Linked DNA regions of Drosophila melanogaster. The protein of the gene in region 1 interacts with the protein of each later gene in a pairwise test. Each region holds a gene or a part of one and is shown in the gene's direction. Other genes may lie near its edges. The genes, in order: CG14194, CG12730, CG11357 and Cyt-b5.

Region 1 (4,812 bases):
TTTACTCAGCTAGTGTGAATGCGAACGCGAAATTTCTGAATTTTTCTGGTATATCGATAGATATTGGGGAATAAAAATTGTTCAAAAGTGTGGGCGTGGCAGTTATGGCCGCTTTAGGGCGTTAGACTGGGTGTGGCAAAAAAAAAATTGTAAATCGATAGAAATTTACACGACTAATAAAATTATTAAAAAATATCCAAAAAAAATTTCAAAAATGTGGGCGCGGCAGGTTTGGGCGGTTTTAGGGCGTTAGAGTGGGCGTGCCAAAGTTTTTTTTAAATCGATAGAAACTTACACGACTTATAAAATAATTTAAAAATATTTCAAAAATGTGGGCGTGGCAGTTTTGGGCGTTCGAGTGGACGTAGCAAAACGTTGTTTGCAAGTCGATAGAAATTAATGAAGACTAATCAAAATGTGAAAAAATATCAACACATTTATTAAAAGTGTGGTCGTGGCAGTTTTGTGCGGTTTGTGGGCGTTAGAGTGGGCGTGATAGCCTTCTAGCATTTATAGTACCTAAGATCTCGACGTTCATACGGACAGACGGACATGGCCAGAACAACTCGGCTATTGATCCAGATCTAGAATATATGTATATCTTCTGTCTGTTACATACTTTTCAACGAATCTAGGGTATAAAAAATATAAAACCCTCGGTATAACCAGTACGATCACAAATTCATTAACAATATTCAAATATTTATAAGCAACTACAGTTTTTCCCGGCATTTACAACATATAAATGTTTGCCGGATCTACGTCCAATGATTGTGTTGCTATTTGGGCGATGTTCTTTTGAAAACTTGAATCTCCAGCCACGATGAGGACACGCTGTCCGGGAATCGCGGGATTGAGGTGGGTGGCCAGTTCGGTGGCATCTAATCGGGACACCTTTGCCGTCTCCTTGTAGCGTAGATTGTCCCGGAGCTGAGGGCACTGCTGGGCACAGTGGCCCGCCTCCTGGCAAGCGGAGGAGTCACACTGCTGATGCGGCAGGTAGAGGCAGCTCCTGTAGTTCCAGAACTGGGCGAACTCGAGCATCTCCTCGCGGAAGTAGACATGCAGCAGGTCGTGAGCGCACACCAAATGCCACAGGCGACTCATATCCTCCTCGTTGTCCAGCACCTGCCGAACCAGCGGCAGAGTGGGTGCAATAGCAACTCCCTGGGCGATAATATAGATGCACTTGGCCGGCTGCGGTTCGTGTACGTATTGCCCGATGGGACCACGGAATTCCAGCAGATCGTCGGGCTGTACGGCTTGCAGGTGCCGAGACATTGGCCCCTCCGGCTGCAGCTTCACCAGGATACGGAACTCTTTGGCCACAAAGTCGCTCCAATAGGGCGAATACGGACGCAGCAGGGAGCCGACGCGCAGCATCACATGGTGGCCGGGCGGGATGTCAAGCACCGTGTCCACCGCTCCATCGCCGTCCCCCTCCTCTGCTGCATGAGCAAAGTGCAGGAGCAGCAACTGTCCATTGGGTCCCAGCGCTTCCCGCCGCAACAGGCGGAACTTCGTGTAGCTCAGGATCACGTTGCGTTTGCCAGCCAGCAGGACGCGTTTGCTTGGCCGTGGCTTGTTGTCGAGGATGCAGTTGGTGCAGCCATTGCCGCAGCAGTCTGAATCCCGCAGCTGGTCCTCGTTTTCCTTCAAATCTTCCAAATAAGATAACATTTTCCTGTGCCTATCGAGGCTATCGATAGCAGGCTAGCGTAGCCGGAAATCTGGCGAATTGTAGCCAGACATCTGGCTAGTCCTTAGTCAAGCCAATCGCCAGAGCAGGCAAGAGTTATCGATATCGAATCTCGGGACAGAAATGCCAGTCAAAAAAGTGTGTAAATAAAACAAAGAACAGAATATCTACAGGGAAAGGGGTGAAAGATCGGCGCCAGGCGTAGAGTACTAACTGCCCCCGCCCCCCCACTCCATCATAACACACAGCCTTGTTCGGGCGAAGATCGCTTCGTGGAGCGGACGCGGTGCGGCGGGTGCCCACGAGCAACTAGTGTCCAGGTACCAAGTGTCCAGTGACATAGCTCTATGGTGTCCTCAGCAACATGAATCTGGAATCTCTGTTCCGCGACTTCAATCCCTGGTGAGAAGCCTCCGACTGCGGACGACCGGATCACATGGGTTCCCAATCTAAAACATAATCGACCATGTTCCCTTTCAGCAAGTTCATCGTCCACTGCAGCCTGTTCATCTTTGTCACGCTCTTCGCCTTGCGCCTCGACAACTACATTGGTGGGTACTTTTCTGTGGCAGTTCTGGAATACACAACGTCACCCAGAATTAAAATAGCACGGGGATGCAAGAAAATACAATCATATAACAATACAAGCATATACGACCCATACACAAATATGTGTACGGTGCACCATCGCTTCTTCTAGAGAATAGTCCAGATTTATTGTATACAAGGGTTAGCAAGCAGATCATGAGATTGGATATAGCAATATCGAAGAAATCGTCTGACCATAGAGGATCATCCAAATTTGGTCACTTAACGAGGATATTAGTTCTCTCGCTATTTTAAATAACTTATCTAAGCTAAATATTTAGATTTTTAATTACTGAACAAGATTTATTGTAGGGCATTAACCTTATAATTGGCCTAGTAGCCTAGTCTAATCGAATGCCTTATCCCAGATTGGCCCTACTGGGCGATTTTCACACCGCTATGGATATGGAAATGCACCGCCATCCTGGGCGCAATCGTAGGAGCCATTGTGTGGTGTCGGTATCCGCATTATCGTCTCGAGGGCGATGCCTACACGCAGTTCAAAGCGATGCTCATCTCACTGGCCCTGCACCTGATCCTGCTGATGTTTGAGCTGCTGGCCTGCGATAAGCTGACCTCGGACCGTCACTTGTGGGTGCTGGTCTTCATTCCGCTGATCTTCGGCTCGGTGGTTAGTGTGGGCGCCTGTGTCTGGGCCGTCAAGCACGATCGCTCCTTCGAGCTGGAGCTCTTCCTGGCGGTCAACGCGCTTCAGTTTGTTTCACTGCCGCTAAAGCTGGATCGCTTTGTCTACTGGAACTGGGACGTAGTGTTTGTGCCCATGTGGATCGTCATATGCCTGAGCCTGGTCAGCGTATTGTATAACATCATCTTCTGTGGCATCATGATGCGTACGCCGGAGGTCTCGCTGCAGCAGAAGAAGGCGGCATTAAACGCAGCGGTGGGCAACATCTGCACGGTGCTCCCACTGCTCTGCTTTCAGGTGAGACCTCATCTAGTCCCTCCAAAAGATTGTGCATCGCTAACCCATCTATTCCGCCAGGTGGTCATCTGCGACAAGCTGGACGGCGAGCTTAAGTTCCCGTACATCGTGGTCTTCTCACCGCTGCTCGTCTCTATTCTGGCGCTAATAGTTCTTAGCTCCTCGGCAAAGGGCGGCAACATGTGGTGGTTCGGCATCCGCAAGTCTTTCAGCCAGTTCCTGTTGTCCGCGATGCCGTTCCTGCAGGAGTACGGCAACATCAGCTATCACCCGGAAACCCACAGCAATGCTGCACAGTCCATGCCGCTGGACGCAGCGTCCTCCTCGACGAGCATGGCGGCCAGCGAGCAGCTGCACGAGTTCCACAAGCACGACAAGAAGAGCAAGAAGGGGGCCAAGAATGACATTCTCAAGCCGGTGGTTCCGTTCGTCAGCATCGATCTGCCGGACTAGATATAGACGGCCAGTACAGCACAGGAGCAGTACAGGAGCAACAGTAAAACAGCAACATTTACAATAAATCGCAAGAACCGCGTAGACTTAAGGACAGCCTCTTTGCACGCGCACAAGGAGACGCCGCACACCTTTGTTCAGGTGTTTATGTTAGGCATTGTTAAGCATACCCATACCCACTTACACACTCACGTCTCCGTCGTAGCTTTTAGACTTGTACTGAATTTTAATTGTAAGACAAACGCTAACACCGCCCACGAACCATGTCCAACCAACCAACCAACCAACCAAGCACATCGCACCCACCATGCTCCCTTCCACGCATCCGCCTGCATATGATAGCACATATAGCACATACATGCATACAGGACCTGACCACCACACGCTTTTGTCCAGACCCGAATCGGACTCCAACTTGACCACAAATTGAACAGCGCCGCATTCGGAATTTTGACTCGTGTGCTAGTATTATATGTAAAACATCTCTCACACCTTGAGAAGCCCACTTATGTGTAATGACCTACTATAAAGTGTAAATAATTAACAGAGTACGTGAAAACGAGAAATATACTTAAGTGCTTCCATCAAAATGAAAAGACGATGATGAAATGGTTCGAAATTCGTGTGAGTTGTATTTATCTTTATTCAATTAGGAAGCTACAAAGTTTACATATGTATTTCATAGTTAAGTTTTGCATTTCATTTTTAATTAATTCTCTTACGTTGTGTCGCCTAAAAAGTTATGCAAAGGTAAAAAGTTGCATTTTAAAAAGTGACCATCCATTTGCCGGACAAAATAATTGAAGATTAGCCGGTGAGCGGTATATATAAAGCGCATATATATATATATATATGAATATATGAATATAGTCTGCAACCGGATCGGATGCGACTGGAAGTACATATTCTTGGGGGTGTGGGAAAGAGAGAGTGAGGCACATAATCGGAAATGGGGAATCGAAATGGAGCGGGACAGAGTTATACATTAGTATAGATATAGTTAAAGTGGGCTAAACGCAGGCCGTGTAAGCATTAACAATAATTCAAATACAATATATATCTGATCGATCGCGAGGTGCAACTGGCAACTTAACTATTGCATAACATATCGCATGAGTGGGCGTGAGCT
Region 2 (4,711 bases), about 14 Mb from region 1:
AGGATATTTAAAGAATGGCGGCAAGGACATCCTGTTGCACTTGGCCCATTTGATTGATGACGTTGGCACTTGAGTGCACACGATAATCATTTATAAGGCGCATAAATGTTCTGTTCCCCGGGGGGGAAAAAGCTGGAAAATCCGAGGGGGGAAATGGGGGTGGTTGTCAGCTGGCGGATAAAAAGCGCCCAAAGTCGAAGGGAATATCAGATTCAAATTCACTTGGCAGATATGCTGAGGTCGTTGCTATTTTTGGGGTATTTCGGGATTCGAAATTAGGGGGGGTGGTCTTGGTCTTGTCACGTCAGCTGCAGAGTCTGACAGCCACTGCACGAAATTTGCATTCAAATCGAGCCGTGTATCTGGGCAACTTAGTATCTGTATCTGACAGATACCCAGCTGGCACACTTCTTTGTCGAGGTTGAGAAATGGCTACGGCCCAACTTGCCGCTTTCTTTCGAACTTCCTTCAAAGTGCCTGAAACTAATTATCTGCCTGCTCGCAAACGTTTACTCCAACTTTCGTTTAATTGGTCATAGTTATCGCCAAGTTTGTCATTATTAAAGATGCTTCTGATGCATCTGAAACTGGATTTTTTCAGCCAGAACACTGCTTAATAGCTCACATGTCGCTTTGCCTTTGGTCCTGCTCCACGTTATCCCGTCGCCAAAGCAAACAAAATCTTGCTGATGCAGCAGCTGGCAATTACAGCGAATGCTTTTCTAATTAGATGCACCCACATTTTCCAATTCCCCCCGGCCCCGCCCCCCTCTCTCTCCGCTGCTCTACAACATGGGTGGAAAAGCGATGGAAATTGCCTGAGTGCGTAAGCGAAAAACCAGCCATGTGCATGAATCGTAGGCGAGATATATCACTAAACAATGCACTCTCAGCAACGTGCCACTGAGTATAAGTTGGATATTTAGTTAAAAACTATTTAGATGCTTTTGCTGTTATTCAGTGGTTTAAAGCGCACATTTATAAAGTCCTCTGTGCACTTATCGAATTCAAAGTCCTAAAGAAATCAAAGAAATGTCCATAGGTAATCATAGCTTTTTGCCATTGAGACTCGCACGCCCTCAAGTGTAAATCCGCTCTCCAGTCAATTTTCTTCGCTTTTCCGCCGCACATTTTCCCCGCTTGTCCAGACGATTCGATGCTTATCGATGAGCGCAAATCTCGTGCCTCCCATATTTATGTATATATATATGTTTATACATATATATGCATGAGCTTTTAGAAATCATGTAGACATTAGTTGCCCTGCAGTCGTCTGACTGTTTGTTACCCTCGAAATGGAAACTGCACTTTATCGCTTAAATTGCTCAAGTGCAGTTCATTTATGATTTTCGTGCTCATTTCCGCTTGTTGTGGCCGATTTCCGTCGCATAGATATCTCACTCAGCATTTTCCGCTCTGCATTAGAATATGTGAATCTGTGAAACTGTGAATGTCTCTGAATCTCAGTCAGTCGAGGCGATTGTGCAAGTGACCTTGGCCAGGAGGCGGGGGCCACCCATGCGGCCATTTCGTAAACGAGCCACCTCTCATGAATATGAGTCAATTAATATAACTCAATTTGATGTCGGGCCAGAGTGTTTCGACTGCTACCCTATACAAGTATCTATGCATTTTCAAGAACTTTAACAATTGAATGTGGAAAATAGTACATGAGTAGCGAGAAATCAAAATTAAATGAATGAAAAAATTGTATCTGTAATATCTTTGTAGCTTTGTATCATAAAATTTTTTTCTTTTGTATGGAGTAGTGTGTTCAAAGTTCGTCAAACTTATCTGGCCACCAAATGGTTTGTGTATATTCACGTATTCCGTATGATATGTGCTGGGCAGCTTGTGTTTTGCAATGTGAATCACGACGAAATTGCATTTGATTTTGGGAGGCTCGCATTTGCATTCGCATTCGGATTTGTGCAGCGATTTATCCGTTAAGTAACTAAATCAATTAGCCTGCTGTGCCGATTAAAATAACGAGAAGCGTTTCGGTCATAGCCGATAACAAATACGATTCGAATGGCACAATCTAATGATGCTGGGCATTAAGATACAGATGGAAATTCGAATGCACAGTGGTCCAAAAAGGGCCCAACCTCAAACTGCATGTCACAAGCAATGCCAGTCATAAAAGCTCGGCACTTCACACGACTAAAAAAGCTTTGCTCACCCAGTAACCGGTCACCTTGCCTTATGAATATACATATATTTAATATATCCCTGGAGGTCAGTGAGTCACACCGTGTTAGATTCACCCCTTGACATCCCCCGAACGAAAATTAGTATAATGTAACGAAGAAGCATTCACAATGAACAGACCCCCAAAACTACAGTTAGTAAGACAAGTTAATATGGTTTATTCATTTATTGGAAATTACAGCTTTCTTAAACTAATAATCCTATTTTTTATAAATACCCAGCTAAAGCTAATCTCCTTAATATTTATAGTTTCATTAGATACCATTTGAGTAGATAACACAATTTGTACACAATATGTACTACATTTCCTGATCGTTTCGTCCCACTGTGCCATGTGTTGCTCGCTCTCTGTCTCTCTCTCTCTCTCTCTCTCTCTCTCTCTCTTTCGCCCGCTGCTTCTCTCGCTCTCGCAATTGTAGTTTTATTCGCCGAGTGTAACGATGGGAGAATTCTGAGTATTTGTGTTGTTTGTATTACTTCAGTGGCATTCTGTGCGTGCTGGCGAGCGCAATATGAATTAGTCAGCGGCGCTTCGCTACATTTGCTACATTGGCTTTAATCGCTCGTTTCTGAGGCATCTATTCGGCTGGACAATCTGGATTAACTGCATCCAAAACGTATATATCTTGTATTGGCCGCGATGTCGTTGACGGGAACCCAGGACTACGATCGCAAATACCTGCTCAGCATGCCGGGCCTGTGCAAGCTGGCCTGTTTGGTAATTAGCCTTACACATATGTGCCATTGTGTATCGCCCTTAATGTGTGCGCTTGTATGTGTGCGTCTTTCAGCTGTGCAGCTTTGTTGGAATATTGTGCATCATCTGCGGACCGGTGCGCGTGAGCAATTTCCGCGGCAGTTTCTACCTGGCCGTAGTCACCATCGGATTCGTGGCCACCGGCTGCCTGCTCCTGGCCAGGTATCTCCGGTTGTGGCAGCGCCAGTTCTGCCGATGCGATCCCACGCTCTGGTCCCTGGCGGTGCACTCCTCATTGGCCCTGGCCTACTTCACGGCCTCCGGACTCGTACTCTCCCTGGATATTGGAGCCTATACGGCGGCGGCGGTAAGTGGCGTTCTCGCAGTTAGGATAAGTTCGGAAACCAAAAGTATTACGGCTCATTGTTTCGGCTAATGATTAAGCTAGGAAAGATACTGGTAAACGAAACACTGAGCCTCCAGTTGGAGCCGATTCATTCCCTCGCTGTGATGAACTCTCTGTAGATCCGTCTAATACACCCTATTCTTCACCTTTTTTTTTACAGTTCTTTGGCCTGACAGCATTTTGCATCAACGGACTGGAGGCCTATGGAAACTATCGGCGCAGTCGCCAGCGGGAGGTGGCCACCCAAACGATATAGACTTGGTTTCAGGTGCACGAACCCAGCTTTTGGTGGCTCTTACTACGTTAGGCTTACTCTGTGTGTGTATCTGTGTGAGAGCGAGTATCTGTGTGCGAACGAGTATCTGTGTGAGTGCCAGTGCGTGCGCGTGTGTGTGAGTTTGTTTTGAGAGAGCGAGTATCGCTTGCGTTTGCTTGAAGCATTTAAGTCTGAAGTTTGAAATTGTGGCAAGCTTTTGTCGCGGGAACAGTTACCGTATGTGTTATCTAATAGTCGCTAGATATAGGTCAAGAAGTGAAGAAGATAAAGCCAGTCGATCGCAGCAATAACGTAGATATAATAGCGAACAGAAAGCGAGAGAAAACCACTAACAAGAGAGCAAATTCCAAAGAGATAAGTTGTATTGTGCCTTCTGGCTCTGCTTCTTCCCTTCTTCTGATAACTGGTTAACAATGCGTGAATATATATGTACATATATATACCCGATTTTTTTTTTACTTTTATTAAGTACATAGTATTTGTGTGTCTCAAGTGAATATACATTGAAGTAGTTAGTTTTTAGCACAATGCTTTTCATGACCACTGAATTGTTGTATTTATAAACAAATAAATCGTTTGCAATGGAAGAATAAAACAAAAATACATAAATGTAATTTGTAAATGAAGGGTGTTTTTTAATGATGAGAGTTCATATGCGTAAATTGGGCTTGAATGTCAATTGTTGATCGTGCATATTGTTATTGATTCATTTACGCAAAAGGCCACTTTCCCGAGGCTATTGTTTATTTATTTTACTACACGAACTACTTTTGCGACCATGTTTGCTTGCACAACAAGCTATTTTCACCTAACATTGCCGGATAGAATTTTTGCAACCGGCGCTCCATGAAAAAGATATCGCCAACCTTTGTTTACCTTATCCGCATTGAAACTGAAAATAAACAGGTACACTATGGTGCCCCCCTGTCTGATTTTGCTTCTTGTTTCGTTTTCGTTTTGGTTTCGGTGCTCTGTAAGCTGTTGCCATTGTTGGCTTTTCAAATCTTTTGAACCACCCACAAACGCAACAACCATCATCACCCAACAAGCAGCACCCAACGCCCACAAAAAAGCACTTGGCTCGTCTATTGTTTGTGTTGTTTTTGGGGGCTCCCGCCTC
Region 3 (4,786 bases), on another chromosome or scaffold:
TGGCGCAGAAGTCGAAAACCTCTTCAGGATAAACCAGAAATGGAACTGAATGTATGATGATTTTTCTAAGTTTATTAGTCACACTGGATGCTTTTTTCAACGATTCGGGTGTTATTGGTATATCTTTCTTATTTGGGTGCCATATCTGAGTGGTAGTATACGTTTTTAGCTCAACGCGACCATCGGTTTGCTTGTAAACTCCAAGATACGGGGTGACCATTAGACCTGCGGCAAACCCCGTATGGGTCACAAATCGGTTCCAGGAATCAGACATTGAGTACTGTGACACATATGACATGCAACAGTCAATGTTGCTGGAATGTCCAGTTTCATCTTGTACAAATAAAAAAATATAATACATTTCTCGATTTACTTATAACTATCGAGCTTACCCACGCATCGTCGGCATCGAAACACCGGATACAGGCGCCAGGATCTACTTTCTTCGGCCAGCTTGGGATCATATACATTATTGACAACCATCACAAAAAATAAAGACGTGAGTGACTGCCCTTTGGAGTATTTTCCTGATATGAGAAAGTAGATAACATAATGACGCTTATTTGGAATATATTATTAATTTTACTATAACTATAACTCACTATAACTCCAGATCGCATGAAACATGTTAGAATCGAAATTCAGCAGAGACAGCTTTGCCTTCAATATGTTTTCTTGACCCGACGATATTCTGCAAACCTTGAGCTTTATAATTTGCAATTTTTTCGGATGAATCCTACTTACAGATCCCAGGTTATATCGTTGCCATGGCCCAGGATGTCGGCAAACTTTTGCTGCACTTCTCTGACTGTGGGAACTAAGTTTCCGTCCCCTTTTGGAGCACTCATTTTTGCAAACTTTTATTCCTGCTTATTTCTAGAACTTCTTCTGTTGCACGTAGAAGATGGAAGTTGCAACAAAAGGCGGCTATCGATAGTCAGTGCTGACGAACTGTCACTATCTAAGTAATATGATGTATTTACCAGTCATATTAGGGATATTTGTAATTTAAATAAACATTAAATAAAACACTTATCAAAATGTATATCTCTTAATGTTTATGATCACCCCAATATTGTTTACATTCGACTGTTTGTAAATAATTAGGTTTCATAAAAGGCATTATTACTCAACGAATTAAATATTATTCTAATTTTTGTTATTAAGTAATTAAGTAATTACAAAATTTAGTTGGCTGATAACGATATTAGTGCAATTTAAAAAGTTAAAATCTTAATGTTAAGTTAAAATAGGTTTCCTATCGGTTGAATCAATTATCATTGCGTTTCTTCGTAATTTACAACTTACGAATGGCGACTGAGCCGATGCACTTTAATCGATAGCAATTTTGGCAGATGGATCTTGAAAATCTAGGCAAGCTAGATGAGAAAGCGATAGAAATGGTCACCCCAAATTTTAAACGCGTGTCGATGCTTGAGTTCCATCCCTATCTCCCGCTTTCAGTTAACATTCCAGTGGTGTATATAAAATCTTATGCCTGGGGTTTTTGAAATTTATACTTAAATAATATATATTAATACTGAACATGTTAATATTTTTAAATGTGTTTTGATACAAATATTGTTAAAAACTAGATTTCTTTAACTCTGAATATTCAAAAAGTTTTATGAAGCCAACTCCCCTTAACAGCCCTTCTTTACAACTAACAACAACGCCTCTGTTAAATATAACAGTGAATTTCGCCGCTTTAACAGCAACTGAGAGCGGCTAACAGTGCGAGAGAAATTCGAACGGGGCAGCAACAAAAAAGAAGAAAAAGACTGGTAATAACGCTACGCTTCTCAGTTACTCAGTTCCGAACGGGCAAAAAACAATTTAGCGCCCTCTGAAACGCTCTGTGTTTTATTTTCCACTTAAAATATTAAAAAAGTGCATAAAAATTGCACACGTCGCTGATAACTCGCTCGGTATACTTATTCTCTAAAATACTGTCTTTCAAATCAGTTGGAAAATATGACATGATAATAAGTGAACAATAGCCGCGCCGAGAATTTTTCGACGAGTGACGGCGGTTATTCCGTTTTTTATTCAGTTTTTCTTAAAAAACCCAAGCGCATAAACAATTAAAGTCGGACAACACCATCGTTAAATGAATTAAAAGTGAATAAAAGCGCTGTCAACGCCTTTTTGGGCAGCGAAAAAAGGAAAGAGAAATCCAGGCCCAGCATCCTTCAGCCTGCTTCTTCTTCTTCCTCTTCATCTCCTTTTGCATTTCTTTTCGCCGCGTCTGTATAGGTGTTCGTGTTGGTGTGGTTGTGTGCAAGCTTGAAAATTGTGTTAAGTTAAGTAAATTTATTCCAGCTGCCAACAACAAATTGATGCCAAAAATCTATACAAATTAAGTGCTGCGTGCGCGTGTGTGTTGAATTAGCACTCCCAATTGGTGTCTCTTTCGCTCTAACTCTGTTTTTGAACTGTTACCCAAAGCGATGGGTGTGTGTAAGTGTGCGTGAGTGCTTCACATGGAAATTAATTAAAAACGCACATTTGTTGCCATTTCCCTCGCTCTCCCGCAAGGATTCGACTGACTGGCTAATGAGGAAGCAGCCAGGCGAACAACCAGCAGGTGACTATTAATACATAAAAAAAAGCATAAAATGTATGAAATTAATTATGCGAGTGCTTGGATACTATCTCTCCAGATTTCGAGGGGTTTTGTCTTTTACTTTTGCTTATCAGCATCCATTGAACAGTATCCTATTGTTGTCATTGTTGCTGCGGGGAGGGACACTTGCTCTCTCGCTCACTCTCTTTCATGTGTGGGTAGCGTTTTTTTTTTTTGTTTTTTATATACGCATCTATCTCTTCTTTCGCTCTTTTCTTCGCCTTTAAGAGGCGTTGTTGTTGTGTGCTCTTCTTTTGTGCTTTTTTCCAACATGAATTTTCTTCGCTTTTTGTTAGCACGTCGCTGTCGCTGAGGACTGACCTTGAACAAGTTCAGGCACAGTGGCACGCATGCCTGTTTGTTGTCCTCCGTTTTGGCTCGTCTGCTCCTTTTCGCCTTTTTCAACTCGTTGTCCTTGGCCTGTCCCACTGTGCCGCCTCGCTCCGTCTCCCTCTTCCTATCTTTCTGTGCGCCTCGCTCCCGTCTGAATGTTTGCCCAAGACTGCGAGAGTGTTTACCTCATCACTTAGGTACAGTGGAAATCTCACTAGTTCCGATACACCGCTTATCAATAAAAAATAACCCATTTCTATATCAATTTTTCCTGATATCAATCAAGTCATATGTATTCAACTTATTACATATTCAATAGATTTGTTATCTGAAGAAGAAGTCGCTAAGAAGACCGTGTTCGAGTCCCACTAAGATAGCACCATATCTCTAAGGGCGATATTTTGGATCTAAATCGATTTTTGTGTGATTTTCGCTAATAGACATTTAACACGTGTACTTTAAATTAATGTTTAATTTATTGAGCACTATGGCTTATAAGGAATTACAATCATTCCGTTCAGTTTAAAGTTCATTGTTTGCATTGGCGCTTCAAATTTTCAATCACATGCTCGTTGGCGAAGCTCTGATTTTTAATTGCGCCAGCTTCCGCGAGAAGCTCTCGCTCTCTCTTTTTCCCACATTCATCTCCCCTCGATCGGCCGTCTCTGTCGAATGGGCTTTAACGCTTTTTTCAGTGGCGCAAAATAACGTTGTATACGCTTTGCTTGACTGTTTGTTTGCCTATCAGCTGCTGTCACCGCTTTTCACCCGTTTGCGCCTTCTGGCCCACTGATAACCGGCGGTGCGAGGCGTTAGACGTCGGCGGTGTTACTTTTATTGGTCCGTACAGTGACCCCGAGATTCTCCGCCGACGTAACGTCACGTCAACGTTTTCAGCTTTTTGCTTTCTCTTTTACTCCCCCTTGCCGCGCCGAAATTTTCGACACGTACGAACTGCTATTCATTATTAATACCCGAATTTCGAGCGATTTGCGATCCTAAACAGTACGTTTATGAAATAACATCCTTATGTCTCACAACTTAATCTTTCAACTGTTTTCTACTTCCTTTTGGGTTTCTCCACTCGACTTATTCATGCTTTTCTAAGATATGCGAAAAGTAATCTGCATGTAGCAAGTTTCACAGAATTTTGTGTATAAGCACACCAATCTTAATAATTTTAAGAAAATTGTATTTTGGTCTTTATCAATGTGCTAGTATCAGCTAGAATATAATACTCTAATACTCGAACATAATAATTCATTCCGTTTCATCATGTGATCCCCTCATGTGAGACTTTCAAATTCAATGCTTCAAATAAATATAATGTTTATCAGATAATTGTTTTTTTTTTTTGAAACCAGCGGAACATCGAGAGAATAACACTTATTTCCATTGTGAATTTGTTTAGATAAGGCATACCAAAATACTTTAAAAGTTTATGTTCGTATAATGCAAATTGTTCTTTTATTTTAAACAAATACATACACGTGCCTCTCTTCTCACACACGCATTTGCTGATGTGGATACATTCTATAAATATTGCAAGTATTTGGAATTTCTTGATTGCGCGCGTAAATGGATAGAAACCAGACATCCACGAAATTTGTGCACTGCAGGAGAACTTTAATTTATTACTGGATTTCTTACTTACTGGATCATCGTGTGATTTCTTTAATTTACATGCGAGCGATTCCGAGCGTTGCAAGAACAGCAAAAAATGGCCATGATCATGTTTGTCTAGTTCGTTTTAATTTTTATCAGCAAAAAATTTAATTGAGTGCAAATCGCGAGCCGAACCGAGCAAGTTTCCAGAAATGTGAACTT
Region 4 (4,630 bases), on another chromosome or scaffold:
TCATTTTTTTTGTTGCGCTTGAATTGAAAACATTTGTTCGTCAATTCTAGTCAATTGTATTTAATGGCGGAATCAATCGAGTCTAATGACGGATTGGCAATGCAAATTTAGTGGTGCTGTCGCGCCAGGAAAATGTTGACCACTGTCTCACCTTTTCCCCGCCCGAAACGGAAAATGTCGTCAATTATGCAGCAATGAGACATAAAATTTAATTGAATCGCTGGCGGCCAACCGAAGTGAACTCTCGGTGTAAAAAATATGCAGGAACAGGGCTATTTTTAGAGCCTTTGTGTGAGTGAGAATAATGCCTTCGATCGCAATCAAGATCTGAGTTTCCGACTTTGTTTTTCTTGTTTTCCAGTAGTGCGTGTGTGGTACTAATTTACAATCGTCGATTGCGTTTAAATGGGTTATAATAAGTATACTATATCTATATATAAACCAAACCCACACCTAATTTTGGCATTATACTCCACTATTCTGACAAGTAATCAATCACATTACGCCTACCCCAAGAATATCGCATATAACCCGCAATGGATACATAAATCCAGAGCTTGGGTGCTTCTCCTAACACCTTGCACAGGTATCCCCCGGCTGGTAAGTGTTTACTGGCCAGTCAAATCTCCAGGTGCTGATAACCCGAAGACACAAACAATCTGAATGATTTACGGGCCACTCGACTCAGTTTTGGATTGTCCCCCATAAGAGTTGTTTACCCACGGGGCTCCAGAACACGCGTAAATCGGGATCCAAGGGCATGATTGAAGTTGGCAAAACTTAATAACTTTTTAACGCATAAATCCCGTCACTTGAATTACGCATCAGCGAAGCGGAAAAGGAAACATAGTGGTGGATGTATACCAGAGAAAGGAAATCGGACCCAAGAAAATGGCCACCGCACGTAGGCCACTCCAGGATGCCAATTGCGTAATAAGGAACTTACCTTTGTAAAAAAGCTAAAAGCGCTGCGTATCAAAAGCACACCCGCCGTCACTTATCAATATATTTATGCTTAGTTTGTTGTTAACTTGAATTGCGCTATTGGACAGCGCTGTAGCTTTTGGAAAACTCTTCACAATGCGTGTCGACTGTTTTTATTGAAGGAGCGCCGCAGCCGCACGGCGTACAGCAGGATACGTTTGACTTTGAAGTCTCCTTTGCCGAGTATGGAATAAAGGCAGGGCTTGAGTGTAAATACAAGATCCGAGTCTGCGCATTCGTCGCTGGTGGAACCAGTTCGCTGGGATACCGCTCGAAATACATTTTTATTAATGAAATGGTCTGCCCAAAATAAATTTGCTTACGAATTTTGTTTGTACATTTCATTTGAATCGTTTATTTCACTAAAGGGTTTTCTCACATTTCAAATTGGGCGCCAAAATTAATGAGGTGCTTTGGAGCACTGGTCTTATCGCGCCCAAAAGTATGCAGTATTCTTTACATGTCGATGGTAAAATAGCCGTGATCCACTATACAATCGCATCGCATAACCACCGCTCCAAATCCGATATATTGTGTATTGGGTGCTGTAAACAAATTATAAGCTAGATAAATAAGTTATAAGCTATTATATATTATAATAAAATATGTGCTCATACCACAAACAATCTGGCTAGTCTAAACGGTCACTATTCGATATCGATAGGCGTTGGTGTAAACAAGCCATCTTGCTGCGCGCCAGTGTGACCGCCGGCCACCAGTTCTGTGAGACCGTGCGCCCTGGAGGAAGAGTGCGAGGCTGGACAAATAGTTTTTCCGTGACACAAATCAAACGCGCAGTAGAAATCAACAAGTGATCACCATGTCGAGCGAGGAAACAAAGACTTTCACGCGGGCCGAGGTCGCCAAGCACAACACGAACAAGGACACCTGGCTGCTCATACACAACAACATCTACGACGTCACCGCCTTCCTCAACGAGGTGAGAATCGCACGGAACACGTCGCAGCTGAGTGCCACCGCCCCGCACCCGCTCCCACCACTAAATGGGGGTCATCGTTTGCTATTGGGCCTTATCTGGGTTTCACTTGTCCCGATGAGCTAATGGGCCCAGCCCCAGCACAAGCCCAAGCCCACGTAGCCACATGTAGCGACTCTAACTTGCATCGCGGGGCAATTAGGTCTGTACTTTGACCCCCGGACGGTAGTTTGACCTGCGTCCGGATTTCGCAGATTTGCTGCGACGTCGAAACTTCCAGCAGCCACTTTCGCCCAGCTGTCGAAAGAGCTCCACATGGCGAAACTATCCATTTGCATACATGTATATATGTGTGTGATGGGCGACGAGGGTCAAGTGTTAAGCGAAATCCGCGTCTGCATTTGCATCTCATTTGATTAACGGACTCCGATTTGAATTCGGATTCTTATGCAAGTGCACCACCGACAAACCGACTGCCGCCGGCTCCGAAAAGTGTATCACCCTGACGCAGCAGTAGGGTCATCACCAAATCTATACATATAGACTACACAAGCATTCCCGCTATCTGCGGGATCTAAGATAAGCTCTGTGAAAATTCCGATCTAACGATGACGTTGCACTTTAGGTACACGCTGAAAATAACAATAGTGAGAGTGACCAAGCATCTAATTTATAATTCCATTCCAAAGTTTCAGTCCGCCTATCGACCGCAGCCATCCCCAGTCCATGTTTAAAACATGCCCCTAATCTGATCCGCTTGGTCCTCTTCCATCTTAAGGAATAACATTAGCTACTGTTACCTTGCTATCTGCGTAACAGCATCACCAGACAAATCGCAAATTAGACTTCCAGATTTTAGAGCGTTTGCTGGATCTAAAGATTATTTTTTACGTGTTTATTCGTTATTTATTCAACATGATCAGTTTATTTTGACGAATCTTATTCAATGTGTTTCCTGCATATGTATGTTCCGATTTGTCATATATAAACCAACACAGTAATTACAATATAATCATCGAAATTAGATAAGGCTAAGTTGGACTATGTAAAAGTTTAAAGAATTGTGAAAATAATTATGAGATACGCTTATCATCGATTCAATTGCACTCGGCCACCTTGAAGAGTTTGGCTAAAATTACTTTAGCTTATCACTCAGCACAATTGAGGCGAAACAACTTGTTTGCTTTTAATAGTAATTAATAACAATAATTACATCATACTTGCTCCGCGGCTTTTTCAGCATGACTCTAAGCTATAGTACAAAGTTTCAACATTATTATAATGGTACAATCAAAACGTAACTTCGCTCGAGTTCTTAGGATCAAAGTTTCTGTAACTTTATTGGCTTATAAGTGCCAAATTAAATCTGTAACTGAAATTAGTTGTGATATTTTTACTTTCAACGCAACGGAAGTATAAAATATTACCATAAAGCTTCCGCATAAACGAATGTTTCGAAGCATTCCCGACTTTATACCTTGATACCATACCCTCTGCTGTCTGGTCCATGAAATTCAGGGTCAGACGTCCATTAGCATTTATCCAAGATCAGCCAACAGTTATTTATGCGAATATATTAATCTGTCTCTTTTCCTTCACGACAGCATCCCGGTGGCGAAGAGGTGCTCATCGAGCAGGCCGGCAAAGATGCCACGGAGAACTTTGAGGACGTTGGCCACAGCAACGATGCCCGCGACATGATGAAGAAGTACAAAATCGGTGAGCTGGTGGAGAGCGAAAGGACAAGCGTGGCCCAGAAGTCGGAGCCGACCTGGAGCACGGAACAGCAAACCGAGGAGAGTTCTGTGAAGTCGTGGCTGGTGCCCCTCGTCCTGTGCTTGGTGGCCACGCTCTTCTACAAGTTCTTCTTTGGCGGTGCCAAGCAATAGGAGGAGCCACAATGCCCAGCAGAGACTTTCCAGCCCGCTCCGGAGTCGCTTAGTTAATCAACAAACGGAGAGCCCGAGAGTCACATGAGGAGCGGGACAGTGGAGCGGGAAAGCTTTTTATAGTAAATTTGTGCTAAGTTTTAACGATAATTTTTGGCATTTGGCGTTTTTGTACAACCCTCTACACGTGTAATTCCTTCAGACGGCGGTTCTAGACTCTAAAAGTAATTTATCCCATTGATATTCCAACATTTGAGGCACGGAACGAAAACGATAAGTTTTTATTCGCATGTATGTACATTAAACATATTTCCAAAAGCAAGCAAACACCCGTCCAAATTTTTGTGCTTTCGTTAGATGTCAGATATATTGTTGACCCACGCAAAAATAGTCCAAATTTGGTGTGTAAAGCAGGGGGTAATACCATGGCCAAGATCATTCAAATGGCGGTGATGCTGGGCAGCTCCAAGCTGGGCCACGGCGCTTTTGGATTCGATGAAAGGCAAGCGGACTCGACTCCAGTGCCACAGATGAAACGGGAGCTGCCCACGCGAAAGATGTGCCTGGAGGCCTTTAAGCGAACCCACTACGACATCCTCATCATTGGCGGCGGCGCCGTGGGTTCCGGCTGTGCTCTCGATGCTGCCACGCGGGGCTTGAAGACCGCCCTGGTGGAAGCGAATGACTTTGGCAGCGGCACTTCCTCCAAATCGAGCAAACTGTTGCACGGCGGCCTCAGGGATCTGGAGCAGGCCATCTCGCGTCTGGACGTGGCTGCCTTTCGGCGTGTTCGCTGCTCCTTGCAGGAACGCAGCCACAT

Evidence for each region.
Region 2: the proteins of CG14194 (region 1) and CG12730 interact in a two-hybrid assay, tested with the Drosophila melanogaster proteins (one large-scale study listed by BioGRID).
Region 3: the proteins of CG14194 (region 1) and CG11357 interact in a two-hybrid assay, tested with the Drosophila melanogaster proteins (one large-scale study listed by BioGRID).
Region 4: the proteins of CG14194 (region 1) and Cyt-b5 interact in a two-hybrid assay, tested with the Drosophila melanogaster proteins (one large-scale study listed by BioGRID).

Annotation. Positions count from the first base shown.
Region 1 is NC_004354.4:19,191,769-19,196,580, forward strand, and holds CG14194 (uncharacterized protein), read left to right. Parts: upstream 1-1,786; 5' UTR 1,787-2,063; coding exon 2,064-2,101; intron 2,102-2,179; coding exon 2,180-2,250; intron 2,251-2,655; coding exon 2,656-3,230; intron 3,231-3,290; coding exon 3,291-3,683; 3' UTR 3,684-4,269; downstream 4,270-4,812. Other genes in the region: CG7914 (uncharacterized protein), read right to left, coding at 733-1,680.
Region 2 is NC_004354.4:5,514,570-5,519,280, forward strand, and holds CG12730 (uncharacterized protein), read left to right. Parts: upstream 1-2,038; 5' UTR 2,039-2,851; coding exon 2,852-2,929; exon of another isoform or gene 2,930-2,931; intron 2,932-3,002; coding exon 3,003-3,275; intron 3,276-3,474; coding exon 3,475-3,570; 3' UTR 3,571-4,202; downstream 4,203-4,711.
Region 3 is NT_037436.4:4,540,321-4,545,106, forward strand, and holds the start of CG11357 (uncharacterized protein), read left to right. Parts: upstream 1-1,730; 5' UTR 1,731-1,784; intron 1,785-1,799; exon of another isoform or gene 1,800-2,322; 5' UTR 2,323-2,587; intron 2,588-4,786. Other genes in the region: CG32243 (uncharacterized protein), read right to left, coding at 1-333, 393-527, 603-691, 745-848.
Region 4 is NT_033778.4:7,531,807-7,536,436, forward strand, and holds Cyt-b5 (cytochrome b5), read left to right. Parts: upstream 1-1,699; 5' UTR 1,700-1,804; coding exon 1,805-1,924; intron 1,925-3,202; coding exon of another isoform or gene 3,203-3,289; intron 3,290-3,525; coding exon 3,526-3,810; 3' UTR 3,811-4,130; downstream 4,131-4,630. Other genes in the region: Gpo2 (glycerophosphate oxidase 2), read left to right, coding at 4,236-4,630. UniProt on the Drosophila melanogaster protein: Cytochrome b5 is a membrane-bound hemoprotein which functions as an electron carrier for several membrane-bound oxygenases.